3 linked regions of the Rhinolophus ferrumequinum genome follow. The protein of the gene in region 1 interacts with the protein of each later gene in a biochemical or structural test. Links are inferred from orthologs where the notes say so. Each region holds a gene or a part of one and is shown on either strand. Other genes may lie near its edges.

Region 1 (9,695 bases):
GTTTCCAAAAAAACAAAACTAAGTTAAAACTGGCAATGAATTTGTTTTCTAAAATCAATGCAGTGGAATAAAAATGTTTCCTAAACAGATACTGAATCCAACCGAACTAAACCATTATATGGTCTAGTTTAAATTCTGACCACAAGGTTTTAAATTTCTATTTTAATTGATTCATGTTGCATGAATTGATGACTTCATCTCTTTCCTTTATATCTGAGAAATCGTAGTAGGGTAAGGAAACTCATTGCACTCTGTCCACAAACAGATTTCCAAGTTGAGAATGGGCCTGGTCACTGGAATACCTGAGGGTACAGCAATGACTGAGAAAAGCCCAACCTATACCATTCAGGGAGTAGAAGTTAATGCCTCTCCCCACTCCCTACCCCAAAGGGAAGCCACAGAAAAATGGACATTCACCTGTAGTCACTGCTCTATGCCTTTCTTTACTCTCTGTTTCCCCTTCCTTTTAATTATGATCCCACTTGAGCTTTATAGCTCTATATTCCAGGAACGTAATGGAATTCTGGCCTGGAAACACGTCCCTTACTTTCTTGCACAGGAGACAATTCATAATAAACATATTAACAATTCATATGGAGAATTTAAAATTTATGATGCATGGTTAACTATATGCTTTCCTAATTACTCTCTACTAGTAAATTGATGGGTTATTAGGGGCATACTCACGTTGCAAGCCACTAAAAGCCTATTTTTTGGTTACAGCTTGTTAGAAAGACACCCAGTTTTTACCACAAGCATAAGTCACTATTAAGTTTTTTAGGCTGTAATACTAAACTATATTTCGATCTAAAGGATCACAGCCCTCATTATACAACAAACTTGCTCCCGGATAAATTATAATATATACTCAGAGGGTGCAGAATAAATATATGCACAGAATAGAACTTTATATATATAAAAAAGCACAATCCGTGTCTTCTAGACACATTAGACATACAATACTGACACAAGAGGGTCCACGTTATGTCTACTATAGGACTTGCAAACATAATATCAATAAACCAAAAATAATTACTAGGCGGATTTTTATCCAAAGTCATCAGGGAATGATGACAATTTAAAATCAAATAACAATGAAATATTTCCAGAAGCATTTTATAAATTGATCACCACAGGGCAAGCATTATCTTCAGTTCACTCTTAAGAATAATCTCAAAATTAGTGCTAGGGTGAACTATTAACAGTTGTAAAAGAGTTACTTATATATAATGCAGACAACTATGAAGGTTCTCTAAAATATCTGCTCAATTAAATTCAGGGCCAACGTCATATCATTTAAGATACACAGGTTGCTGATCAAGTCTTAAAAATCATACAAAAAACAAAAAAGCACAGAACAGTAACTGCAATACTTTTCCCATTTCACAGATGATGAAATGGAGAGTTAGAAAGGATTAGAGACTTGCCCCGCTATAATAACTGAAACAATTAAAAATGTAAACACACTCATATACTGAATTAAATATTTAGTATTAAAATACTGGTGCGCATTGTTGAAGAAAAACATTAAGATTACATGAACCCATTTTTAAAATAAAAAATAATTTAAGTATATACTATTATTGGTGATAGTTGTTGTCTTAGTATCTACAAAAATTTCGCCCAAAATATGGCCTATTGTATTTGAGCGGATTTCCTTACAAGAACCTACTTAAGTATTTTAGGTAAATAAAAATTAAAACATGATATTTTTATTAAATAAGCTTAAAACATATGCCATATAACTCCCCCAAATCTACATCTGTCTTGTGATAAAATACAAATAGTAAATAAGAAACCCCCAGGAAGATTACAAATAATCTTAAATTTAAAATTTTTATCTAGAATGCTATGAAACTAACTGAAGTATGATATGTTGGTGCTATCTACGCTTGCAAGATGGTTATTCACAGATCTTACTGTACTTTTGTGAAGTCAAATCGATCAGTTTTAAAGGACCTTTGTCAGCATTTTACATCGCTGCTCTTTTTGTTACTTTTTAGTCTTAAGAGAGAGAAAGGAACAGCTCAAGAGTCAACTACCCTTACGTGGGAATTTGCTAGGAAAAAATAAGAAAAGTAAATTAGAAATTCAGTTTAACAGTTTTTAAGGCGAGGAGGGGCGTATGTTTATGCTTATAGACTGGTGTCTTAAATGCTCTTGATTAGTGATTCAAAAAACATCCTCTACAACTAATATTTATTTAGTGGAATCCTATGAGACCAAAAACTTGTTCCAGTACATTTGCCGCACCTATGATATATATTATATTTCCAAATTCAAGTGACAATGAATTCAGCAAAACACTCACAAATTAGAATGACTAACATTTTCTGTTCTATTCATTGGGCATATGTAGAGCCTACGAAAGAAACAAAAGTATGGGCCAGAATATATAAGACATTTGTAATGTATTATTTTAACATTTTTTTCCTATTTCACGAAAGTCTCCAGTTATTAACAACCGCTTCACAATTTAAAAACGAAATGCATTATTAATACTTGCATATGTTTTCATAGCAGTGCCTTTCACACTGCTATTACATGCATGATTATCTTGATAATTAAAGTTAGTGGCAAGCATCCTTATTTTCAGAGAATTACAGAGGAGAGAAAATATGTATTTGCTTATAGTCATATTACTTACTAATTAAAAGCAATTAGCCATGATCAGCAGTGCATTTCTAATGCAAATTCCTACAGTAACACTTTTTCTCTTGTACAAATTTTAATATATAGGGATAATATAATTTTATGTCACAGGGATTTTGAAATTAACATTGTGATTTTTAAAAATGATCATTTATCTTTTAAATGTAAGTCTGAAATATACAAAGAAATGAACAGTAAGGAAACTAGTCTCTTCAAAGAAAATAGTGTATTTATTTAAAATACTAGCTGCAGTTTTAATTTAAAAAAGAAATTATATTCTTTTAAATTTAAGAATGAAAAAACCATGACCAAAAAACTTAGCTTGAAATTCTCCAACCTTTATACTTCACTGATGCCATGCTTTTACAATAGTTATTGCAAAAGCTACAAACCAACTTAAATATGAAAAAGAGTTTTGATTTAAAAATTAAATCACGTTATTTTTCTTCCAGTAAGAAAAGGCTGAGCAGTCACTAGTTAATTTTAAGGTGTTTTATTTTAAGATATAATTATCAGCAAGCGGAGTATCAGATATCATGAAATTTAAATAAAGAAGAAAAATTATATGAAGTACAAAGTAAGACAAAAATGGATGGTTTTGTAACAGACTTCATTGCTTGGCTAACACATTAGTTTTAAAATATTGTATATTAAAGAATCCTATGGAACATATATAACCTCCAGAGTGAATCTGATTGAAAAATAGACAACACAAAAATTGTTTTAAAACTTGAATAGGATCTTTTGAAATAGCACTCCACATGCTAACTGGGAGTATCTATGAGTATTTTCTATAAAACTTGCATAGGAGTGGAAGGTATTTTTTTAAGAGAGAAGCCACAGTGAGTGTCTATGTTATTCTCTATACCAGAGGGTTTTCTAACTCATTTAGCACCATCAGGTTGGTTCTACTTTCAGCCAGGAATTGAACACTTAGCCCTAAACAAGAAAGACTGCCACAGAACACCTGAGATCCGTCGAACAAATCTACTCAGGTCCTTTAAAAAGTAAGCTGGTTATTGTTCTCCCAATAACTCATTACAATTTGTTTCATGAATGATTAAAACACCTAACATTAAAATTGTACTTCAAAATCGAGTTTCTCCAGCAATAGGTTTCACACAACTCAGTTCATCATCTTGCTCGGTTTTGTTTTCAGATGATAATTTACACAAATTAATTTTACATTTTGTCCCCAAGCTTAAAAGGAGGAAAAGAAGAAAAACTTTAGCTTCTTCATGACACACTGCTGTTTTACTTTATTCTCCTGAAATAATTTTTCATTTTTCCAACCATTATCCTCAAACTCAAGTGAATTAGATTCTCACCGTAAAGCAAGAGCACAGCAAAATAATAACGCTATAATGTAATTAACCATCAACGTTATCTTGCACATTTTGGATACATCACCAAAACATTTCAGCAAAATGCAGTTACAGTGAGCCGACTCACCTAAGCACTGGGAGTTAAGAAGAATTTAGAAATGCAGCCTTCTGATTCACCAGCAGAGGTAAAGGCCCCTTCTTTACCTAACTGACCTTATATAAAAGCAGCAGATAGGTTACTCCCAGTTTCTGCCTCCTTACCTTAGGCTCCTCCCCAAATACCAAGGCATAAAGTACCACGACTACACACCCACCTTGCACCCCCTACACTGAGGGACCATGATTACCTACCTCGGTTAGGCTACAAGTGCAGTAGTAAAGCTTGTGCGGACGAGTGGGGGCCTGCAACACGCTAACACTCGCTTTCCCAACAGGGGATGAGAGGGAGCCGCACTTTCCATCCCCGACGACCCTGGGGGCTCCAGCCCACACCCCCACCCCTCCACTCGGCTCAGAGTCAGCAGAGAGCTTAAGGGCACCGGGCTGGGTGACTCCAAGGGCGTCCCTCGCTTAACTGTCACTACGACCCTACACAGCGATCGCCGCCTGGGTTCTGCAGACCCAGCAAGAGGACTCCACGGCCGCCAGACGGCCACGCACGGGATCCCGCGTTTCTACCCCAATGTCCCCCGCGAGCCGCTCCCGGAAGCCTGAGCACCTCCTCCGGTGATCGGAGGTCCCGGGTCCTCTAGGACCTCCACCCAGGGCAGCGCAGGACTCGAGGGCTCGCGTCTCCTGGGGCTGGACCGCCGCTCTCTGGCGCGCCTCGCGTGCAGCCCTTGCCCTCCACCGCCGCGTTTGCTCGCGCTGCGCCGGGACTTCTCGGGGCTCAGTCCTCAGCTCCGGACCTGTCAGCCCCTGTCCCCGCGGACCGTGACCCCTCTGCCCACGACCCCTCAGCCAGAGACCCCTTCAGCGGCGACCCTTCAGTCCGTCCGGGTCCCCTCTGAGCGAGCCCTCAGCCCCCGCCAGCTCTCAGCATAGATAGACCCTCCTCGGTCCCGGACCCCTCTGCGCGCCGCCTTCCCCCGATTCCCCTCGCCCCGCATCTCCCGCCCCGAGGCCCCGTGGGCCGGAGCGCCCCCGGGCACCCTGATTCTGACCTGCGGCGGCGGCGGCGGCGTGGCGCCCCGCTCTAGTGTCCCGGCGGCTGACCGAGCGCCCCAGGCGGCTGCTCCGCAGGGGCCTGGAGTGCGGTCGGCTCCGCCTGCCCGAGGCCGAGCGGGGCCAGGGGCGGGCGCGGGGTGTGGGCGGCGGGCGAGCGGGGAGGGAGCGGCCCGCGGCACCCGCGCCCTGGCGCACAGTAGGGCCCCTCGCCTCCGAGGCTGCCTTTTCTGAGCGCCTACTCGGCGCCCAGCCCGGTTTGTTCCTCACAATCACCGCTGGGAGGCGGCCCCGAATGGTCCCATTTTACAGAGAAGGGCCCCGGGCGAAGCTCAGAAAGATGCCCCGGGTCACGTTAGAGTAGAGCCCGGGATGTGGGGTTCTGGAGCCCGCCCGCCCTCTCCAGGCCAGTGTGTCTCGCCTTTCGCAGAGTGCTCTGCGAGATTCCCACTCGCCCCGCAATTGCTCTTTTCCATGACATTCTTGACAAAAAGTAGTTAAAAGCATACTTACGATCACCTGGTTTTTATCTGATATCCTAATGGTGCTGCACACTTTCAGAGCCCCCCTTTTTCATTTGTAATTCAAACTGGTATTCATTAGTCAACGTGACAGAGTTTTAGCTTTAATCATTAAAAGTATTTCTTAAACTCATTAACATAATTTCTTGAATTATTTTAACAGTGTTCCTTACACGAAGGGACTCGGACACATGGGGTAGCGGTGAGACGCTAGGTGTGGGGACGTCAAGTTTTCAAGTTTGAGAAGTAGTCAGGGGCATGCTGCGTCATAAATCTGCAGGGTAGACCGTGGGCAGCGTCTTCTCCTGCTGCTTTCTCCATCAGGACCCATTCAAAGGGGGGTTGACAGATGCCCAATCAGAAAGCCTCTGGTCTTCCGGACCTGAGGCCTTACTTTCTTTGCCTTCTAACAATTGCATTTACTACACATCCTGTTCTCGGCCTGGCCCTCCCAAAGGAGAATAAAATCCCTGATTTCAAGAACCGTATCAATTACTTGCCCAGGATGCTCTCTAGTCCTTTAGCATCTTAATTTGTTGGGGATGCCTACCTAGTTCTTTGCTCTCTAATGCAGAATGCCTTCATTTGTAGTTTGAAGGAATTTTTTGTGAGGATGAGTATCATTTCAAAGAAAGTTCAGAGCTTAAATCAATAGGTGTGTATCTTTCCACTCATCCCCTAAAATAAGAGGCTAAGGGCCACGATTCTATTATAGGGACTTCAAAGAAAACCATTTTATTGACCACTGAAAAACGCTGTTTCTTTGCCTGCAATTTAGGTAGTCAGGTTGAGGTGGCTCAGCATTCTACCTTCAGGCCTGGAAGTGCTGCATGCATCCTATTTCTTGATCATTCCAGAGTTCCGATCTGCTCTTTTTTTTTTTTTAATAACAGCTTTATTGAGATATAATATACAAAATCTAAAATTTAAATACTATACATTTTAAATGTACAATGCAATGATTTTTACTTTATTGACAGAGTTGTTCCACCATCACTATCATCTAATTTTAGAACATTTTCATCACCCCAGAAGAAACCTCCTACTCCCCCCCTAACCCTAGGCAACCACTCATTTATTTCTGTCTCTATAGACTTATCTATTTTGGACAATTCATATAAATGGAATCACACAAGGTCTTTTGTGACTGGCTTCTTTCACTTAGCACAATGTTTTGAGGCTCACCTATGTAGTAGTAGCATGTATCAGTATTTCAATTCCTTTTATGGCCAAGTGCTATTCTACTGTATGAATATATCACATTCTGTTTATTCATCCATCCGTTGATGAATATTTGGGTTGTTTACACTCTTTGGCTATTAGGAACAATGCAGCTATGAACATTCACGTCCAAGATTTCGTATGCATATATTTTTCATTTCTCTTGGGCATATACCTCATTGCATAATTTCTGAGTCATATGGTAACTTTATGTTTAGTTTTTAAAAAACTGCCAGTCTGTTTTCCAAAGTGGCTGTAACATTTTACATTTCCAGCAGCAATGTATGAAGGTTTCAATTTCTCCGTATCTCTGTCAACACTGTTGTCTTTTTATTTTAGCTAACTTAATGGGTGTGAAATGGTATCTCATTATGGTCTTGATTTGCATTTTCCTAATGACTAGTTATACAAGCATCTTTTCTTGTGCTTATTGGCCATTTGTGTATCCTCTGAAGAAACATCTATTCAAATCCTTTGCCCATTTTTAAATTGGGTTATTTGTCTTTTTGTTGCTAATTTATAAGAGTTATTTATAGTATATTCTACATACAAGTCCCTTATCAGGTATTTAATTTGCAAATATTTTCTTCCGTCCTGTAATTCTTTTTTTCTCCATGGAGTCATCTAAAGCAAGAGTTTTCTGAAGCAAAAGAGTTTTCAGTTTCGGTGAAATCTAATTTATCTATTTTTTCTCTGAATGGCATATCAGTGCGTAACCTAAAGCTATGGAAATTTATTCCTAGGTGTTCTTCTAAGAGTTTTATAGGTTTAACTCTTACATTTAGGTCTGTGATCCATTTTGAGTTAAAGTTTGTGTATGGTGTGAGGTAGGGCCAATCTGCTTTCGGCGGGGGAAATTTGAATTAAACAACACTGATAAAAGGAATCCCACTGCAGGGAATTCATAACCAGTGCAACATTTTAGAGTTGGTTTGAATACTTTCTAAATTCCCTTCCAGATACAAAAATTTTGTCATTTAAAAAAAAGTGATATATAGTTACTGAAGCCTATAAATATAAGAAGCCATATAAATTGAAATGTATAAATCTGTATTTTAAACTATTGGCCTTGATCCATTGGTGGCTTATTAAATCAGTTTAATGGGTCATACCCAGCATTTTTTTTATGTCAAATAAAGAGGAACAAAAGAGAACAGAAACTATCAGAAAGCATACCTCGAATTCAAGAAAGTGTTGCTTCATAACGTTTGTGTTATACATGCATGTGCATTTGTGTGTAACATGAGTTGGTGTAAAATGTGTTTCTTAACCACATTTTAAGAAGTTGGAATAACACTGTATAAACTACAGTTGCAGATTCATTCATTCCACAAACATTTATTGAGTATTTATTTTGTGCCAGACCTTCTGTTAAGTGCTGGGGATAAAATGATACACAACACATGGTCTCCGCTCTGCAACAGTATACGTATGCAGTCTGAGCCATATGGAGTTTCTAGGGACAGAAGATTGTGCCTTGGTTCAGTTTTCCCCAACCACAGGGACTCCTTCAGAATATTGATGTTTGGTCCCATGGCACTTAATTTTTGTAATTAATGCTCAGTTGTTTATTTCATTTGAGATTTGCCAATACATTTGCTTTTCTTCCAACCAGGGGACCTTTGTTCCCAGGTTCATAATTGCATACTATGATTGTTATATTGGGAAGGAAATACAGGCCTGGTAGTGGGAGTTGGTCGTACATGAATTGATTCCCATTTTACTCCCACTATATTTAAACTAGTCCCACTGACAGACCTCAGGTATTTAAAAATTCTGGTATATTACTTTTTAAGGCAAACATTTTAAATCATGTCAAAAATTTTATTTCCCAAGGATTCAGCAAAATAATGTTGGCATTAATAGTGATATTTAACCATTTTGCAGATGAATTTAGGAAAATTAATGTGTTGTATTTCCAGTCATCCAGTCGAGTCACTTATCTACAGCAGCCATGTACAATCGGGGCTCTGACATTTGCTCCTCCTTTTTATCTGAGATACCATTTATCAGTCTTTAGACAATGTAAATTCTCAGGAGATTTAGAAGATTTTAATTTAAAATTTAAAAAAGTATAACCAGTTCAACATGCTGGACAGGTTAAACACACACATTGACATTCACAAATACACTACTGTTTGAATGACTCTATTATGTTCCCACACATGATTTTTAAATCTAGTTACGAAATTTTACCTGTACCTTTAAATATTATTAAGGTCCTCTTTTCCTCCTCTCCCTATTCTGTCCCCTCTTATTTTGCCCCTCACCAAATGACTTGTCTCTTATTTTGAAGGTCTTAAGTACCAAAGCCAGGCTTGTAACCCATTTCTTCTGATTTCAAATTGCTTGATCTTTTCACTCTACCTCTCTGCTTAACTCAGCATTCTATTTCTGTTGGTGTTTGCCTGTAAATAAAAATTTTTTCTCTGGACCATCTTAATAAAAGTTAATACTTGATTATGTATAAATCATTAGGCTACAGTATAATACAGCTATGTATTGGTTCAAAATAAAAAACATGGAGACTATAACTAAATTAGTATTTTTTCTTAATACTCCAACTTAGAGCACTCTTTCAGATAATTTGGAAAAATTAAAAGAAACATAATTTTAAGGCCATTTCTTCAATAATACACTTTTCTTTAACATTGAATGAAATAACTGCTTATTTTTGAAAATATTTTATTTTTCATAATTTGTGGACTCCTATGAAATTAATAATGATATTTAACTCCAAAGAAATTCCACTTGGCAGTTTGAGTAGTTTGGAGTTAGACTAGTTAAATTTTAAGGGTTTGAAACATCATTA
Region 2 (10,061 bases), on another chromosome or scaffold:
TCCTAAAAATTCTCACACTACATACACCTTCTGCCAAATTGTTTCTTCTCCAAGAAGAACAATGCAGGGTGTTTTTCAGTGAAATAAAAGAAAGTGAGCATCCCTCTTAAAATGCAATTTGAACATCTCAGGCACTTTAAAGCCTAAATTGGCTAACTAGGGATTTACATGCATGCATTGTTTAACAAAGTAACTTAGCTAACGATGTTTTTATACATACACATTACAATTGTTGCTCACTTATCTATTAGAATAGGCAAGCAACAAAACAATAAAATAATTTGCAAATACAAATGACCTTTTCTCAAAAGGTCTAAACCATATATTCACGATCCCCCCTTTCCCTAGTTTCCCTGAAAGGACTTCAGTAGGAAAGGTGAAAGAATGGGTCACTAATGACTGCCCTAGCAGCTTTTCCCCGCACAACTTTCCTCTCACCTAGGTGAGTCAGGAAGAAAACTGAGAAGGGCGATTAGCATGGAGGAACTCCATGCCTAATTCAATCATTACACACATGCAAAAGGTGCCAGGACCCTAAGTGAAAGCGACTCACATATTCCTATTCCTAAGAGATAAACATATTCCTCCCTTTTTAGTAATTCAAAGCCCTGCATGGACCATAGCAGGTTAGGATTTCTATCATAGATATAAAGAATGCTAAGAGTACACTTATAGAATGTACATTATCTGTTTTATAACTTGAATATTATCAGGTGTGGCTAAATAAAAATATACATAAAATAGGGTCAAGAGGGTTTTTTTTTTTTTTTATGTAACAGATGAATCAAAATACGATCTGCCAGAATCTTTAAAAAAACATGGCTATAACACAGTATTTAGTTAAAAACAAATAAAAGCATCAAACATAATAAAATTGAATTTCAGGATCCTTTCTGAGCTTTTTGTTACATTTGAATCAGTTTTGTAAATCTGTGTCAGTTTTTCTTAAGGAAAAATACCAACTGACTCATCTATGTGAGAATTTCAGAGTAAATGGTGCTTCTTGGCAGATAACATCATAAAAGATGAAGTCTAGGATTTACCAACATGTTCAGAATTTCATGGGTTTATAAACATCCTCCCAAACTCCTTAATATTCAATGATAAATTATTATCAGAAAGGAACAGAAATTTCCCTACTGACAACTCCTGACAGAAAAATAGTTCCCTCTGGATAACCAGGTGAATTTGTTGGCTTACATCCCAGTTACAATCCTTCAGCCAATATGTTTATCTAATTGTTTCAGAAACAAAACAAAGTTTAGTTCTAGAAGTTAGAAAGCTTGAGAATTAATTTCATTTCCTGTGAAAACCCAGAAATGTTTGGAAATTTGCCCAAAGCAGTTCTCTAGTTTAATTAAGCCCTAACTCTAGAACTATGAAAGGATAGATGAGTGATGTAAGCAGGTTTTTGAAAAATCAAAGAGTAGTCATCCCATGCACAATGATATACATCAAGTCCATATAAAATCTGGGAATATTTAAAAATCAGTCTGCCATCATCACCACTATTTAAAACTCGGTTTTGATGGAGTTACCGAAAAATCATCCATATTTAGAAGAACTTCACTTTCATAGGATCAGACCCAATGACATTTTAATTCAGGCTTTGGCATTTCCGGAGATTATTAAGCATGTTGTATTTAAGATGAAGAAAAGGAAGGTGAACTTCTAAATCAGAACCCACCACAGAGGAGACATTATTTAGAGATCAAATTAAATTTCAGTAAGCACTTGAGAAGGTACTAAACGAAGGGCATACTTACTGGTGAATTTTCTGAGGTCTTTCTAGCTCAGTCTTTCATTGTTACATGTATAAAGTGCTTGTGGTAATCTGAACCACTGGATAAACTGACAAGACAGAGAGTTAAGTTTCTTTCAAGAAACAAACAATGTAGGGAGAAAAATAAGAGCAATGACACTTCTGGTTTATCAATAGCACCATTAACTAAGACGTGAATGTCATCAGTAAATTCCACCGAGTCTTAAACCTTAATGTAAATAGTTTTTCTAAGGCATCTGGGAAATATAGAGCATAAACGTTCAAATTATGCCAAAGACTAATTAAAATAGATACACCACCATAAATGTAATTGGATTAAACCATAGTACCCATTTGAGAGGATTGGTTTTAAGGATCAGTCTCACCCTTTAATACTTTTCTACGGCCATAAAATATAAGTGGATATCTCCCCTGTCCAATTCAGCGAGTCCCTGAAACTGAAATGAATAGATGCACTGAGAGGTCATTATGTTACATGACATGTCTTCTTTAAAAGCCCTGGCTATTTAACACTTGATAAAATGCCAAATTCCAAGTACCTGCATCCATTGTGACATACTCTGTTTACTATATAGCCTTTTGAAGTTGGCAACTCAACATGTATCTAACTCCATAGAGTTATATATTACATATGGGTGCTTTCTGATAAATCACAGGCAAGAACATGTCAGTTTTGCATCTAAAGGAAATAACATTTGATGTTAGCATCTTATCTTTAGCATGACTTTGACAAATCAGATAAATTAAGACATGATGACTCTCTTTACGTTACTGCATTTGATGTATAAAGACTCCTGCCTTAGCTGTATCATTCTCCAAACTCTAGTTTGGGGATGTTTCTTTACGTATCTCCATAAACATTTTTTCTTGTAGGCACATTTTGTACCCTTATGAAGTATCTCTGTTGTTTTTAAATTTTTACCAAAACTAGTAGGGTGCAAGCATTTGAGAGAGAGTTTTAAAAATTCTATTTGTACAAACACATCACAGTGGAAACGCAAGAAGATATGAATTTGACTCATTATATATATGTGTGTATATATATATACATATATATATACACACATATATATGTATATATATATGTTGTAAGAAATTTGTACAATGAGCATCAACATAATTAAAAGTTCCCAAGTTTCTTTTTTTTATCTCCAGGTTTTCAGAATTATGCTTGCAAGCTGACAGTATTTTTTGATGTGACAAGATCAAGATCTTAAATTCTTGAATATATTATGAAAACTAAATTTACGAAACACAGACTGTCACTACATTAGAGCAGATTATTTGCGTCAAACTCATTGCAGAAAAGAAACATCTCTAAAACTCAGATTACTCTGTAAAAGCCACATAGCCATATTATTGAAGCAAAGAATTATAATTTTGAATTGTTGTGTTGTTGCCACCACATGACTTTTCAACTCTCAATTTTCATCCATCACAGCAGCATTTCTGGCATTTAGACCTAATACTCATGTATTTCAATACCACAGAAATGAATTCTAAATTATTTATTAGTCAACGCTCAGAAGCTGTAAATGGGATATATTACAATTAGACATCAAAACACCATGGAGAATTAGAATTGAAATACAAGTTTATAAAGATCCTTATTCAAGAAGATTAAAAATAATTTTTAATTTTGTAAATGTAGATCAGACATAACTGTCAGTTCCCCGATTTTAGGGCACCTCGTAAACTCAGTGATCTCTGTGGTCACTGCTTTCTCTCCGCACCCTGAGGCATTTCTGGGCATTTTAAATCTATGACAAGTGTAAACCTCACTGAAACTTAAAGGACTGATAAGAACAAGGAAAATTCTAGTTCTCTGCTATTTAGAAGCTAATTGACAAATGTCTTCAGATGGATATACTATTTTATTCGACAGGTATCACTGCTCTAACTGACAGCAAATAAAGAGTTCCCTTAATTTAATAACAAAATTATAAACATGCATCAGAGGAAAGCATTTCAACTTCCTTGTACAAACAACACCTAAGAGTAATCACAGATAACTGTCTGGAAATCTGTATCAGGAGCATTAATCATCAGTATCAACTTTAACATGAACAAGTATTTCTTCCAAATAAGCTAGCCTTCCCTATTCTGAAAGAACAAAAAAGCAGTTACTTGAAAACAACTCCGACAGAACCACCTACTACATTTAGCCACATACTACATTGGCTTGCAAGATAAATGTGTGAATGGCTCATTAAAAAATGGTAACATAATCAATTAATCGCACCTGAAATACTCATCATGTGTATAGACCTCCTAGTTATATTGTCTAGATGCTATCTGATGGCTATTCTTGCAACAAATCATCAAAATGCAGCATTCAGTACTTACAGACTGCTTACCAACAATACCATCTGGAAACCTTTTGCATTTAAGATTAAAGCTCCACACAAGGTTTATTGTTAGCCCCAGCAAGAGAGAAGGAACCGGAGGGTGGAGGGGAGCGCTTACTTCGAAAATGCTCCGAAGCGTAATAATAGACATCCTCATAGCCCTCGTGGTAATCCTCTTCTGGTCGGTACTTTTTCCCCTTTCTTCTCCTAGATCTTCTTATTTGCTTGACGAAACCCAGGAAGCGGTCCATCTCTCCCTGCCGGTGCAGCCTGGCTCAGCTCAGCTGCTGGGGGAACTGGTGGAGCATGAATGGCCAACACCGAACCTGGGGCTGGGAAGCGCTACCCTTCCATCTGCCTGTGCTACCATCAGCGCGGAGATTTTAGCCATGGGAGGGGGTAAAAATAAGAGCGATATGGGTTTGTCTTGACCAGATTTCTTATTTTGTGCAGTACACTGTCCAAATGTGCAATTTAAAAAGAAAAGAGAGAGAGAGAGAGTAAAATGAAAAGAAAGACTAAGAGAAAAAATAAACAGCGAAGCTTTGGGCTTCAAACAGCTTCCAAACAAAACAGAACAAAGTTCAACAAGAGATTCAGCTGAGGGGGGAGAAGTCCCAGCACTAGAATTTCACTATCCAACATCTCCATCGTCAGGGGCGCGGGTGCAGAAGAGAGGGGCGGGGAAATGTACTAGTAAATGGACTGAACCAAAGCTAGAGACCCAACGGACTTTTTCGTACCTGCTAATCCCACCCCCTCCTCTAGCACCCGTGGAAGCAAAGTGCAGTGCTTGGGGGAGCTTCTTGGAAAGCTGTTGTTTTGCAATGGGCGGACGGATTAACCCTTTGTGCTCTGTGGCGCATATCGTACTAATGAGCGCAAAGTGGTTTCATCCATACGCACTGCCTCTTACTGACAAAAGTGTGCGGTATGTGTTAATTGGAGCAGCAGGGAGAAGGCTCAGCAGCTGCTTTCAAATGACACATTTACCCACTGGGCATTAATGTATTCCAACCACTTTTTGATCTAAATATTAAAATGCGCTTCACAGAGTGGCTTCCCCATAGGCTGAGTAACAGCATACCACAATCAGCAAATAAAGGAAACTGCGTGGTGTTTGGGAACAGAAATACAAATAATCCAATTCTGCTTACAGCGAACTCAAATAAAAATCTAGCTGAGTTGTTACATTTTTTTTAAAAAAAATAGGAAAACAAACAGGCTAAAGAGCAAATAAAACTTAGTTCTTGGTGAAGATGGAGGGAGGGAGAGACGTTTCTAAAAATCCTCACACCCTCTTCATCCTTTGTCTCTAAAATCAGAACTTCTTTTTTTTTTTTTTTTTTTAAAAGTACTACAATCAGAAATACTTCAGACTAGACCAAAGAGGTACTCCAAAATCCAGACAGGTCAGCGTTAATCGTGGATAATCTTTTCCTCTCTAGCTTCTTTCTTCAGGTCTTTAAATAGATACATTTTTTTTAACATCAGGAAAAATGGAATTTGTTTACACTATAATTAATCAAATATGTCAGCATATTACCTACTAAATTAATAATATGCTGCAACTCTATGGTCCCAGAAATGTACTTTATTTTAAAAGCTGCTTACTGTATGAGTCGTTCAATATCTATGTAATGTCAAGTTTATAGGACCATCCCAAAAAGAAGTGATTGCACTTAGCACTGTCTGTTAGATTCACAGGCAATTTGTCTCTTTTGTAGATTTAGGCATTTCTCTATTTGCAGGTATTAATTACTAATGCTGGAGTAGGGAGACATTTACTTAAGAGATAAATATTTATCAACTAAGAACATTTCAGCTCTGAAATGTGTAAAGTTAGATTCAGTGAATTCGCCCTATTTCTATAGTCCCCCCTTTTTATGCCTTGCCAGTGAGTTTGTGAAGAGAAACACAAACTTAATGATATTGACAAAAAAATACTATAAAATGTCTTAAAAACATCTTTAAACAAAATTCACTTGTCCTTAGGTTCCAAATCTTTTCTTTATTATTCTGACTCCTTCAACCAAAATAAACTAGAACATCTGGAAGTTCTAGTTGAAGATCTGGAGTCTAGTCCTTGAATAGGTCACTAAAAAAAATAATAATACGTAGCCTTTTCATTTAATTCTCCTAACAACCTTTATAATGAGGTGCTACCTCTATACATGAGAAAAGAAGGTTTAAAGATGTTTTAGTGGTTTGTCCAAGATCACAAAGGTAACATTGCCAAGTATGACCTACTACAGGTATTTTTTCATACAAATTCAGAGATTATCTTGCCTAAGAATTATTTGCATTCAGTGATTCATTGTTGTCTATGTGAGTTTGCAATTGAAATGGAGTTTAAAAATAATAGTTTTTAACTGGGCTAAGCATATATCCTGGTTTATGTGAGTAATATGTCCTCAGAGATTATGCAGGCAACAAATTTCACTCAAATTACCTCTGAATTACTACAGCTCCTAAATTAGTGGAGTCTACATTATTTAAATTTTATAGTTTTAAGCTCCGAATTTGATCTAAATGGAATGACACGATAGAACAGATGATGCTTGATTAGAGAGAAGATCATTTGTGTATAGACCAACTTAAAACATTCCACCACAGTTTACTGATTTGTAATTTCAGTATTCAAAGACCCTGAGAATTTCTCAACTAGTGATAAGCAACTATTTTGAATAAGAACTAATGCAAAGTAAAACTGTCCACATACAAAACTGTTTTCAAAAGTAAACAGAGATTATGCTTAAAGCACCTTTCTATTATTTTCCTAGTTTTGAAGAATTTTATTTGGGAGGTTAACATTTCACTATCTGATTATAATAACAACATTTTTATATAAGAGGACGTTTGGTAGTGCTAGGGAAGAGTTTAAAGTTCAGCCATGCACTTGGAGAGGTACAGGAGGGGAGGTAACAGCCATGTTAAAACAATCACAGATGGTTAGGAAGAGGGAATAAGGAATTTGATGTTTAGAGGAAGTCTGCTTGGGTCACAAAGAATGAAAGAATGTGGCCATGTCCCATGCAAGGGAGAGGAAGCATGTGTGTATGTGTCACAATCCAAAAGATAGAAGGCAAGACACTTGCTTCTCTGCCTGAGGCTTGGTGCAGGTGTGTTGGATCCTTTAATCAAACTTCCTGAGTTCACACCTCTGACTTTTTCCTGTCTTCTATCCTAAATCCTTAATGTTTGAGCAATGGAGCACCAATCTAAAATCTAAAATGACTTGTGGTTATACAACAGTTAGCTAATATCCCAATACTAATTGACAAATGAATAGAGTGAAGTTCAAGTCCATTCAGTTACGTTTACAACCATTTCTGTAGAGAACCGCCCTGTTTCCTCACAGCACAAACAGTGGTAAGTGGTGCTATTCACCAGTTATTGCACTCTTCAGTCTGAACAGATGGGCTAGTTGAGAGGTTGTAAGTGGCAGTTCACAGAACAAGTATCTCCCACAATTGTGTTTGGTTTGGCTCACATAAGTGTTGTTTTGTTTATTTGTTTCTTCCTTTTAAGCTGCACCAATATTAAAAGTCAGGAATTTCACAGATCAGACATTTGATTTTTTCTTAAAAAAAAAAAAATCAAAAGATCTGGCAACTCTGGGCCCAATTCCAATATGGCAACTACTGATCAGAGCTGAGTGGTGGCTGCCACCCATAAATAAACATGCACTTTCCACTTAGCCACAGCCCCCTCCCCTGGGTCCCATTCTCTCATTCAATTACCACCTGCCCCCTGAAGGCATTTATGCTTGTAAACCATGGTTGAGGTACTGTCCTGATGAGCCAGTTCCAAAACACTAATTTCTTTAAGAGAAATTTCAGTTCCCTTATATTTTCATGTAAAGAAAACAAATTATTATGACAAATCAGTTTTAGTTGTGCTCAATGTTCACTAAACTATAAAATTAAATTTCTTAGAAAAAAATTGTTCATATGACAAAATAAAGCAAGTTGAATTATTCAACAAAATGTGTTTCAATAAAGAATAGCAAATACTAAAAAAAATGAAAAGAAAAGCGAATTCTTTTTTTTTTTCTAGGAAGTAAGCAATTTCCTGAATAGCACTTACATGGATTCCATACGCTTCTGAATTCGATTCTCCATCCCCTTTTAGGAAAAGAGAAATAGACCAACTACTGAGCTTAAATCTCCAATTTACAACCTTCCCTAGATCACTGAGTCAGTAGGACTCGTATGTGCATATTTAGATTAAGTAATAGTTACCGTAGTTTCTGAGTAGCAGAATGGAACACAGTTTACTAGAAAACTCTTTGAGATATTGGATCAATCGGACCTTATTTAGATGCCACAGTGTTTGCTTGTGATACCAAGAGCAGCGACACTGACATACTGAGGGTGGCAGAGTATGAAGGGAAAACACTGGATCCTGACGGACAATTAGAGCATTCTTCATCCGGTCAGACCCAACACCACTTGACTGTGGCAAAGGATTTGTAATACCCCCCTTTACTAGCCTAACTGAAATTCATGGATCATGTGACCCAGGTACATATAAGTTAAACATAAAATTCCTTAATAAAATACATATTTAAGTGTATTTCAATAATATGTATTAAATTGGTAAATCTGTGGCTACAACCATACCAGATGATATAGTTAGATCCTTGCACCTACTTCTAAGAAGCAATTTCAAATTTCAGAGATGATCAGGAGCCTTTCCATACAATAGAGACAAAATAAAAAGGTAGAGTCACAGGCGGACAATGCAGTAAAAATTAGTATCTTCATTTATATTAAAACTGTGAAAAATATCTCAAGTCAAAAGAATGAAAAGAAGTCACAGACGAGGAGAAAAGATTTGCAAAAGTCACATCTGATAAACGCCTGTTGCCCAAAATATACAAAGAACAAAATATAGAAATACTAAAAGAATGCTTAAAACTCAACAATAAGAAAACAAACCCACCTGATTAAAAAAATGGGCTGAAGACACTTTAACAGACACTTCACTAAAAGAGATAGACAAATGGCAAATAAGCATGTGAAAAGATGCTCCACATCATATGTCATCAGGGAAATGCAAATGAAAACAACAATGATACACACCTATTAGAACGGCCAAAATCTTCAACGCTGACCACATCAAATGCTGGCAAGGATGGAGAGCAACAGGAATTTTCCTTCATTGCTGTTGGGATGCAACATAGTACAGCAACTTTGGATGACAGTTGGTTTCTTACAAAACTAAACATATTGTTACCATACAATTCATTAACTAAGCTCCTTGGTATTTACGGAAAGATTTTGAAAACTTACGTCCACACAAAAATCTGCACTCGGATGTTTCTAACAGCTTTACTCATAATTGCCAAAACTTGGAAGCAACCAAGATGTCCTTCAGTAGGTGAATGGGTAAATAAACTGCGATACATCAGATAATGGGATCTTATTTAGCATTAAAGAGAAATGAGCTATCAAGCCCTGAAAAGACATAGAGGAAACTCAAATGCATATTACTAAGTGAAAGGAGCCAATTGGAAAAGGCTACATACTGTATGATTCCAACTATAGGACATTCTGGGAAAGGCAAAACTATGGAGATAGTAAAAAGATCAGCGGAGCTAGGAGTTGCGGGGAGGGAGGGATGAAATAGGCAGAGCACATAGGGTTCTTAAGGCAGCGAGACTACTCTTATAATACTGTAATAGTGGATACACGTCATTATGCATTTGTCCACACTCACACAACACCAAGAAAAACTTCTAATGTAAACTATGGACTCCGGGTGATAATGATGTGTCAATATAGGTTCATGGATCCTAACAAATATACCACTCTTGTGGGTGGATGTTGATAATGAACGAGGCCATGCATGTGTGATGGGGGAGGGGGGAGGGGCGGTACATGGGAAATCTCTGTACCTTCTGCTTAGTTTTGTAGTGAATAAAA
Region 3 (10,408 bases), on another chromosome or scaffold:
TACAATGCAGTCCATAACATTCAGTTAAAAAAACCCAAAAAACTAAAAGCGTGTATATTGTGATTCCAATTAAATCAAATTATACCTGTGTTGGTGTGTATGTACAGAGTATGTTTACACAGATAGATTCTGAAAGGATGTTCCCCAATAGTAATGAACTCTGTAGATGGGATTTAGGGAGTCAACGACAGGCATCCTTGGGCTACATTAAGAATAAATTATAGCACAGAAAATCAGGTGTAACTAAATATAGTGGTTGACATATATCACCACATAAAAGCAAGCAAAAGCTCTATAACAAATGAAGATCTGTTTCATATAAATAAAGTTAAATGTAAAAAAATAATAATAACCCCAATGAATGACACTTTAGAAAAGTACAAATGTGGAAATGAATTCTACTATCAAATGAAATATTTCTTGAAAAGTAGAAACTGCTCTGCTATTTCCGTGCTTTATGTTGGTTTATACCTTTTTTAGAAGTTATTTCTCAGGAAAAAACCATGTCATCATTTTCACAGTCCTTTAAGTCTTCTACTTTGGTTCACTCATTCATGTCTCCCTTACTTACCCCTTTCTCACAGTGTCATGGATCTATGGAGTCTCTTTCCAGCTCCCCGTTACTATACTTTTCTTTCCTTCATTTGTTCCCTTATTATCTTTCTTGTTTTCACTCTCTTTTATGTTTCTCGGGCCTCTTATTCACTTACTCTTGATCTATTGAGTTTTTCGTTGCTCCCCCCGCCCCGCCTTTTCCCCCTCTGCAATCCCTAACCTCATAAGGAAACCCAATAAATATGCCTCCACATAACAAGCAGAATACTAAAATGTGGGGCTTTTCTCTGCTTCTAGATATTCTCAGAACAGTCTGCACAGGTATAGCTTCCAGTCCTTAAGTGGACTCACTCCAACTGTCCATAAAGGTAGTATGTTGAACAGACTCATGAATCAATATTTAGTTTACAGGACACTTCATTACTTCTGTCCTTCAAACAAGGGAAAAATATACCTCTGCTCCTGTCATTCCCCAACCCTTACATGACTTCTTTTCCTCTGAATGTAATGTTCTGAAAACATTATTTACTCAGAAGAAAAAAACGATTGCAGAGTGGAGGTGGTGAGAGAAAAGGAAAATCACCAGCAAACATCTGTCCTGGACCTTCCTCTTTTGCAGATGGCTCACAAGAGCCAAACATTTGAGGGGGAAAAAGCTATAACTGAGGCAGATGGTTGGAATGGAACATAGGGTGATAGGACTACAGCAGGAGGAAGAAAGCTCTAGATTTTTGGCTTCCGTAAAATTTGGGAACTATTAAGGGAATACAGAGTAGAAGAGATGGTTATTAGCCGAAAGGAATTACAATCTAGTAGGAGAAATGACAGGCCCTTTGTGTTGGGTGTCCCCAAGACCGCCCTCAGTTTTTGTGATTTGCTAGAAGGACTCACAAAATTTAGAAAGTTTTCCCACTCCTACTTACAGTTTAGTACAACAAAAGGATACAGATCAGTATCAGCAAAGAAAAAAGGTGCAGAGGCCAAGTTGAGGAGAAACCAGGAGCAAAGCTTCTAGTTGTCCATTTCCAATAGAGTCTTACAAACAGCATTTAATTCTCCCAGCAACAATATGTAACAGCCCAGAAACAGTGTTCCCAACCAAGGAAAGTCATCCAAGCCTTGGCATTCAGGACTTAAATTGATGGTCGGTCACATAGGTATACAGCACCCATGGGATCGACCTTAGCTACTCAGTCTTCAGTTCCCCAGAGATAAAAATGACACTGCATGGCAAGAGACTCAGGTATACAAAAAACTGGTGTTAGCCATAAGACATGCCTTCATTAGCATAAACCACCTGGTCAAATGATGGAGTGTGGCCCAAAGCCTCAAACGTCCCAAAACTCTCTTATCAGGTAGGATAAATGTTCAGAGACTATCAGTTAGTCAAGGGCCAGTTCTTTCTTTGGAATGTGCAGGGTTTGAGTAATCCAAGCTCACTGAGTTAATCCTTTAGTGTACCCCAAAATAGTATGTAGGCTATTAACATTAATTAAAAAAAAAATTGAAAAAAACGAAACAAAAAAACCCTGAAGTTTTTATCTTCCTGATAGCAGAAAGCTTCATCTAGTCATATTCTTAATTACTTTAGGTTTTGTTTCCATTTTTGTTTTTTTGTTTTGGTCATCATTTCAGGTTTTAAATCAATCAATACAGCATTCATTCTCCCTTCTCTCTAGACCCAATTTGCAGATCCAAGGGTTAAATAGTATCATGGCATAGGCGGGAAAGTGTACAGAGCATATAAAATATACTATCAACGAGGTTGTTGTTGGATTGAGGTTTGCAAAACAAGTTGCTTCCTAGTAGGAATATGGCCGCACATGTGTGAGCCTGATAAGAATGAAGTGAAAAACATGTTTTTGTGTGAAACTGAGTATCACAAAATCGAGTGATAAAAGCGTTCACCAAAACAACTTCTCGTTATTACTGAAGAGGTAAACAACTCCTGGCAAACAACTTCTGGTTATCACCTAAGAAGTAAATAAGTCCAAGGGAAAGGATAAAGGCAGAACTCCAGAGCAATGCCAGGAGAAGCCCAACTGGGCGCTCCGGCTAAGACCCTCTGCGAGGTGCAAGCTGCGATACCGGAACTCTCCGAAGTTCTTTCTTTGCAAACAAGACCAACTTGACTCAGACCTGTCGTGGGCCCAGTCGTCTCTCCCAGACCAGGGACCTTCTCCATCTCGATTGACTCTGTGACTTGGTTCGTTATTAAATTCTATTCTGTCTTGTATAAACTATGGTGCTTGCCAGAGCATTGGCCTCTGGAGGGACATTGGCTCCCAAATAAAGCTGTGTTACTCACTCTGTCTGAACCTGTGTGTCAAGACTTTGTTCCCCACTTACGTCATGAGTACCATGCAGGGACATAGGGCCCTGCTGAGGGGTTCATGTCCCCTTGACTTTTAGGAAGAGACTGAAATATGGCAATTGCCCTTTCAGGTGCTCGCGACAGAAAGACACTGGATTCTTGGGCATCCTTGGTTCATGGTGGCATACACAGAATGTGCCTTACCTGCATTGGTTCTTGACTGCTGGCATCTCTGTGGAAGCTATTGAGATAATGAGACAGTCTTTGGTCCCTGCACACTGCATCCTTCTTTTCCTAACAATGAAGCCTCAAATCATCCAGGCCTTTCTGCTACTACTAAAGCTACAGGGATCTTTTCCTTGTTCCTGTAAAGCCATAGGAAACTGGGTGAAGGAGTTATCTCAAACCCTTCTTGCTAGACGTGCATCACAGCCTCTGAGAGGTCTACTCAAAAATGGTTTCGTTAAACTCCCCTGGAAGTTCTAAAATTTCTATCCATTACTACCTTTTGAGTGGTGGGCATGAGGAATTCTCACTAGACTCGAATGCTCTTGTTCTCCTTCTCTTCCAGTATGGTCAACTCTTATCTCTGCTCTCAGAGGTGGTTGTAGAGGTGATGGTGATGAAGTTTAGAAAAAGGCAAACCATCCAAAAGGCTGAAGCTTAGAATGGGTATGGAAAACAGTGATGATCCAGACAGGAAGATCAGATAGGGATGAAATGTAGAGAGACTTGGATGCAGTGGGGAGCCATAGAAATTATGGAACAAGAGAGGGGAATATATTGAGAGCTGTAATTAAGGAAGAATAATCTATTGGTAGATCTCTGCGAAAGTTTTACAACACACTTGGGAGAATGACAATATCTAGATAAGAAAATCACACAAGTAAAATAATCTAAAATAATAAATTCGTTTTCTAGACTTAAAAAAAAAACAGAAGCCATATGTATTTGAACAAAGTAAAACATACAATTGTTTTAATTACCTGAGACTAGGAAGTCTAAGAATATGGAAGATAATTTTCTCTAAAACTGATTATCCATGATGACTAAGAAACTAAACTAGTGGGCTGTATCAAATTACATGGAAATCTCTCAAAACAAGCCTCCCCAGTTCACCTCTTATTCTTTCCTTATCCACTACTGTCATCTGCGGGAATAAAGAGCACTTGTCTTTAGTCTGTGTGAATCCTGTATACTACCTCTGTAATGAATTATTAACATATTAAAATCATTAATTTGTAATACAGAATTTGCTTTCATAGTATATGAAGATTTTCAAAGTGCAGCTAGAAAAAGATAGGGTGGAGAATGAATACTGGAGAAGAAGTGATGAACTTTGTCTGGGATGGTTTAGAGGGAGAATAGGTAAGTCTGAATTTTGGGGGAAGGGCATTCTAAAACAAAGGGAAAAGCACATGCAAACCAGGAGGCATTAAAATTAAAGCATGAGAATACTGGGAACTTCAGATTGAGAGATGTATAGGGATGAAATCATGGAGGGATAGGTAAGAAACTTCGGATAGGTCTCTGTTTCTTTAAGGGTAGTCTTGGAGCACCCAGATCACAATTATGAGATGCTACTAAAATTGAATATGGGATGGGCCCAAAGAACCAGCTCTTAAGCAAACTTGCTTGGTGAATTTCATGCAAACTAAAGTCTAAGAAACTAGTACCATACAAAATGAATAGCCCTTGAATATCATTAAGGAGAACTTTGCTCTGAAGGCTTTTGGAAAATGGATTTTATGACCTGTCTGGTAAAGAGTCTGGTAGGAGAGGAATAATTTGGGAAGGTACTGAGGTCTTGTGGGAGGGCTAGGAAGCCTAGAGTTTGCCCCCGCCTCCCACCATGCCATTTTTTCTTTCAAGATCTTTTCAACTTTAAGTTTTTCTGATCCCATACCACTCCCTCAAAGGTCCAGCATCACTTCATTTGTACTTAAAGAATGGCACTTCCATACAATTTTTTTACAGTCTTGTGTATACAAAAGCTTTGTTTCTCCTAACCCGTTTCTATACTTCAAGCTCCTTAAAAGTTTGGCCATTTTTTGAAAATATGTGTAACTTCTAATGTAACTGTGTGTGTGGGGGGGGTTGGAGAATGAAAACAAAAATATTGAAGTTATGAATTATTTGGACATAAATATTGAGTTTTATTTTTATTTTTGGAATGATGCCATATTTGTGCAATAAAGACATTTGCAAACAATTTTTATATATTAAGTCCTTGGAAAATGAACCCTTTTATTCACTTAAAAAGCAAATCATTGACTTTAAAAATCAATTTTCATTGGCGAAATCCTTACAAAATTTCTGACTTGCAATAGAACCTTCCCCCTTATTCTTCATGCTCCATCATTCATCATAGAGATGAGTACCTTCAGGTGGCAAAATCCATGCTGCCTCTACGGTATCGTTTTTTCACATTTTCACAATTCTTTCCTTGTTTGCTCTTCACTATCTCTACTTCACCATCCTTTGACCCTCCCACCATATTTATGCCTTCTACAGGACCCCGGTCTCCAGTAGTAAAACGAGAGTTTTCGAAGCAGTTACTTAATTAACGCGCATACACGGTAGAGCCCCGCCCCGTAGGAGGAGCCAACACAGGAGGACCGAATTAGATGGTCGGTCGTTAACAAATGAACCCTCAATATTTTCAGAGGAGCTACACGCACACAAAGGCCCAATCAGAGGCCGCGGTTCCAGGATTTTGAGGGGCGGGGCTTCACAAGAGCCCTCCCACCTCCCAGCCTCCCGCCGGGACCGTCGGAGCCTCGCGGGCATCGGCTGGCCCCGCCCCCTGGCCTGGCGCGGCGGCTATTGGGCGGCGAGCTCCCTGCCGTCGTCTCAGTTGCTGGGAGAGAGGGCGAGGGCGGGGGCGGATCCGGAGGTGGGTCGGGGGCTCAAGAGAAAAGCGGGGAGGCGAGGGCGGGCTGGGCGGATTCGAAGATCGCCGCGGCGGTTGGCGAAGCGGACGGAGCACGTCCTCCGCGGTGCGAGGAACGGTCCCTGCTGACTGATCCCCTTCTTCCGGCCGCGCCACCCGGGAGGCGGATCCCCGGGGCCTGAGGAGGCTTCCTCGGCCCGGCCCTCTCGCCCTCCCTCTCCCACGGGTCACCCGAGCGGCCTGTGACGACGAGGAGAAGGAGGAGGAGAAGGAGGAGGAGGTCGTCGGGGGCGGCAGCGGGCGGAGACCGCGCTCCCCCTTCGGCGGCGGCGGGGGCAGGACAATGGAGGTGGCTGTGGAGAAGGCAGCGACGGCGGCCGTGGCGGCTTCGGCGGCGGCCGCCGGGGGGCCCTCGGCGACGCCGAGCGGGGAGAACGAGGCCGAGAGTCGGCAGGGCCCGGACTCGGAGCGCGGAGGCGAGGCGGCCCGGCTCAACCTGTTGGACACTTGCGCCGTGTGCCACCAGAATATCCAGAGCCGGGCGCCCAAGCTGCTGCCCTGCTTGCACTCCTTCTGCCAGCGCTGCCTGCCCGCTCCCCAGCGCTACCTCATGCTGCCCGCGCCCATGTTGGGCTCGGCCGAGACCCCACCGCCAGTCCCTGGCCCCGGCTCGCCGGCCAGCGGCTCCTCGCGGTTCGCTACCCAAGGTGAGAGGCGGGCGCGGGGGAGCCCAGGGAGGGCGTCGGGGAGACGGGCGCCCTTGTGCTGCGCGACTCGCTGTCATGTCGCCGCCGCCAGGGGTGCGCGACGGGGGAGGGGCGAGAAGGAGGGTCTGTGTTGGCGGCGGTGACATGGAGGGCCCGCGCTCGCTCTGCGGCGTGCCGCGCGCCCCGCGAGCAACTTCCACGGGCGCCGTGGACTTGTCCGCGCTGCTGCTCCTGCCCCTCGGCATTCCCCTCCAGGGTTGGGTGGCCCACGCGACCCGCACTTTTGAAAACCTCTGTCGGAGTTTGCTGTAGTCTGTATCTCGGGTTCTTTGCCAGCTGCATCTAGTTAACGGCTACCCTCTGCCTCCCCCAAAGCTTTGTCCAGGTGCATACGATCCTAATCATCTCGTCTACACGCACGTTTTTCTGAGCTGGAGTGGGGAGGCAGGGATGAAGATGAAGTGATGGTGACTTTCTTTGATGACTGATTACAGATCAGTTGCCGTCTATTTTCTGTCTTGTATGTTTCGTGTTCTTTACCTTCCTAAGAACCCAGTTCTCTTCCCCTCTGCTGTGGACAAAGGAACTAAGAGGCGGTGTTTTGTTGTCTTTCTCTTTCGAAGATTTTATTTTTGAAACGGTAAAAGGTAAAGAGAAATAGAACAACGTGATTTGGGATGCAGGATTTTTCTTGTATTTTGTAGACAGCAGCTGGAAATGTTGAAGTTACTGTTCTCTTTGTGGTGTTTGTTTCTGTATAACAAGACTTTTGACAGGTAGTTCCCATTGGTAACGTTAACAGGTTTGAAACATTTAAAGTTAGTCAAAGTAAGCACAGTAATTCTTTTTCTTGTAGAATACTTGAGGTTTTTAAATTTTAGTATTGCAAATATTTGAGCTCCTTCTCTTAAAAATACAAAGTAACTGGAAAAGGTGGGATTATTCATTTCTAATATTTGCTTCCTTTTTAGAGGGACTAGTAGATTTGAGATAAAATGCTAATTAAATAATTGAGCTAAGTCAAAGGGTATGTGAAATTAATTAATGCTTTAAATAAATGGTCGTGTTAGACTCCTCATTTAATTATATGCTAGAAACAGTATCTAGTGGAGGGAGACAATTTTCCATGGGTCTTTCTCTGTTTCTGCAGGTCCTGCCAGTGGTTACTGCCCTTTGTTTGTATTTTTAAGGGATGTTTGTGTAAGGAACAGTCTTAGAAGAGTGTCTTCCATCAGAGCAAAGAGCAGGCATGCATATGGTCCAGTGGAATACAAATAAATGTCTCCTTCTGGAGTAAAAGGCAGGCATGCTTACTGCTCATCATAAAAGATTGGGGTTCCCTAAGCTTAGGTTTCCTCTCATGTAACAACCCATTGCCTGTGCAGGTGTCAACTGCCTCTCTTCACCTTGCCTGGTAAGAGCTGGGACTCTGGGAACCAGTGCAAAAATGTTGGTGCTTTGGCTTACGCTATTATTGTAAGTAATAAAATGCCCTTTGTCTGTGACTCCTGAGTCTCGTGTTTTCTACTAGCATCCGTGGTAAGCTACTTTGTTAGCTTGTGGTAGGGAGGATAAAATCTCAGATCCTTCATACTATTAGTTTGGTGCAAAAGTAATTGGTTTAAAAGGTTAAAAAAATAATTGCAAAAACCGTAATTACTTTTGCACCACCCTAATAGTTTGCTCAGATGTGGCCCACCTGTTGGAAAGTTAGTACAAGTGAAACATCTTAGTTCTTAATTTTTAGACACATTTTAAGGTTTCTTATATTGCTATTTTAAATGGTTAAACAGGCAACTAGCCAATTAGGATCTGAATTTTGCATAATTCTAGAATTAAGATATATTGTGTGCCTGGCCATGACATGCAGACCTGAAGGAATGAGAATTTGGATAATAAAATCTCTGATCCTCAATTCTGAGACAAGTTTGTAATTCCAGATTTCTCAAAATGTTCTATATAATCCCAGTCCCCAACTCTTTTTTATCTTTGTATTTGTATTGTAAGCAAGAGTTCAAGGAAAGCATTTAAATTGGAAGATAAATGTTTTTGTGTACTAAGAAAAAGCATTAACAAATGATACTTGCACATACACCTCAAAAAAGTTAGGGTCATTTGCAATAAATTGAAAATATTTTCCTGAGTCTTATTGACTGGGATATTTTCTCCCCTCTCTCCCTGCAAACTTATTTTAATACCAGCCGAAACAAAAGTTTAGACAATACATTTTAGAACTAAATAGATAGGGTTCATTTGATCATCTGTTCCTCATTCTCCTAATGAGCTTGTGGGTACAGGCATCATGGATCAAACTACAATACCTACAGGGGCTAAGCTGGTAATTGAGATGGAGAACTAGGAGCCTGGGGTTAAAATAATGGGGAGTGGGGGCCGGGGGCAAACTAGGCTCTCACGGATTCTCATGTGAGTGCAGGGCCAGTGTTGAAGGATCTTTTTTTTTTTTTTAACTTTTATTATGAGAAGTCTGAAGTCTGGATTTTTGTGTAAAATTTCTCTAGAAATTTAGATCTTGGCAGGTAATTAAAAAACCCACACAGGGCCCATTCTATAGACCAACAAAACAAAACAAACAGAAGAAACCAGTTTGGTTTAGGCCACATACCATGCTGCAGTTACAGTCTTCCCTTTTAGATTTAGATAGGGGTTTTCAAATTTTAGCTCTTCTAGAATCACCTGGTATACTTGTTAAAAATTGATTTCTAGGCGCCTCTCCCCAGAGAGCCCGATTTGGCAAAGATACAGAATTCTAGAGTATAACAGTAAACCCCAGTGTTTCTTTAGTTCAAGCAGTATTACATTCAAAAATACAGGTGATCGTAAAAGGATTCTTTAGAAAATTAAGACGGAAATTCAAAGCGTAGCGTAGTAGTTCTCAACACTATCAGACCTAGTGTCCCTTTCTAGTATGTACTTTTTGGTGTTCCCTGTATTATCCTAAATGAAATTTATAGAAAAGAAATTCTTAACACATTTAAATATCAAAATCAACACAATGCTTTAACTTTTAAGAAAGAAAGCTAATTTGTAACAAAAAAGTATTATAATTTATAAATGCTCAGACGCAATTACACTAGCCACCATGCCCCCATTGAGAACGTTGGTCTTGTTGACTGGCCAAATAATTCTCCAGATAATCCTCCAAAAGAAAACGGTTTATTTGGAAAAAAGAAAAAGGAACAGAACCGAGGAGTGCATGCACACTTGCCAGCAGGGCTTGCCCACTGGCCACCCACGTGGGAAGAAGAGATGAGCCCAACATGGCGCCCCTCTTTATTCGCATTCCCCGCTCCTTCCCCGGAGGTTACCATAGAGTTCAACAGGAAGTCAAGACGAGACAGTTAACAAAGGGCCCATCTCCGTCCTTAGTCCTCCCAACTCTATGGTTAAGCGACTTAAGATGTCAGTTCACTTTCAACAGTGTAAACTGCCCTTTTCTAAGGCTACCATTTGGAAGGAATGAGGGTGAGGGACCACAAGCTAAAGTTGGATGACTACCTCAGCCCTTGTCATTTTCTTAGCATGCAGTTACATCCAGGAAAGAGGGGAGAGCTTAGAAAACAGATTTTCTTTAGGTACATTATAGATACATATAGCTACATTATAGATGATAACATAGATTTTCTTTAGGTACGTATAGATCAGGAGACAACCTGATCTTGGAGAAATGTTAGAACATTGTGCAATATTCTGTGGTGGTGATGTACCGTTCAGCCAAAGAGTAGCAAATTACTAAGAGCTATTTTTAAAAAACGCTTTCTAAAGCATACTTTTGAAAGGGGTCACATTATTTTTCAAGACAGTATAAGAGAATCCATCAGTTTTCTTAGGCTACTACTTGGCAGTCTATAAGATAAGTAACTGTCAGTTCTGAGAGCTGATTTCTTTTGGTTCTTGGCAAAAAATATAAATCATTTTATG

Evidence for each region. The genes of interacting proteins can lie anywhere in the genome.
Region 2: the proteins of PPARG (region 1) and GRIP1 form a complex in vitro, tested with the Homo sapiens proteins (2 studies listed by BioGRID). The link is inferred for Rhinolophus ferrumequinum from reciprocal best matches to the Homo sapiens genes PPARG and GRIP1.
Region 3: the proteins of PPARG (region 1) and TRIM24 interact in a test that uses a peptide from one of them, tested with the Homo sapiens proteins (2 studies listed by BioGRID). The link is inferred for Rhinolophus ferrumequinum from reciprocal best matches to the Homo sapiens genes PPARG and TRIM24.

What each region holds. Positions count from the first base shown.
Region 1 is NC_046300.1:42,144,319-42,154,013, forward strand, and holds the start of PPARG (peroxisome proliferator-activated receptor gamma), read right to left. Parts: upstream 4,171-9,695; 5' UTR 4,105-4,170; intron 1-4,104. UniProt on the Homo sapiens protein: Nuclear receptor that binds peroxisome proliferators such as hypolipidemic drugs and fatty acids.
Region 2 is NC_046293.1:63,340,705-63,350,765, forward strand, and holds the start of GRIP1 (glutamate receptor-interacting protein 1), read right to left. Parts: upstream 4,593-10,061; 5' UTR 4,383-4,592; coding exon 4,250-4,382; intron 1-4,249. UniProt on the Homo sapiens protein: May play a role as a localized scaffold for the assembly of a multiprotein signaling complex and as mediator of the trafficking of its binding partners at specific subcellular location in neurons.
Region 3 is NC_046309.1:10,566,716-10,577,123, reverse strand, and holds the start of TRIM24 (transcription intermediary factor 1-alpha), read left to right. Parts: upstream 1-5,816; 5' UTR 5,817-6,105; coding exon 6,106-6,469; intron 6,470-10,408. UniProt on the Homo sapiens protein: Transcriptional coactivator that interacts with numerous nuclear receptors and coactivators and modulates the transcription of target genes.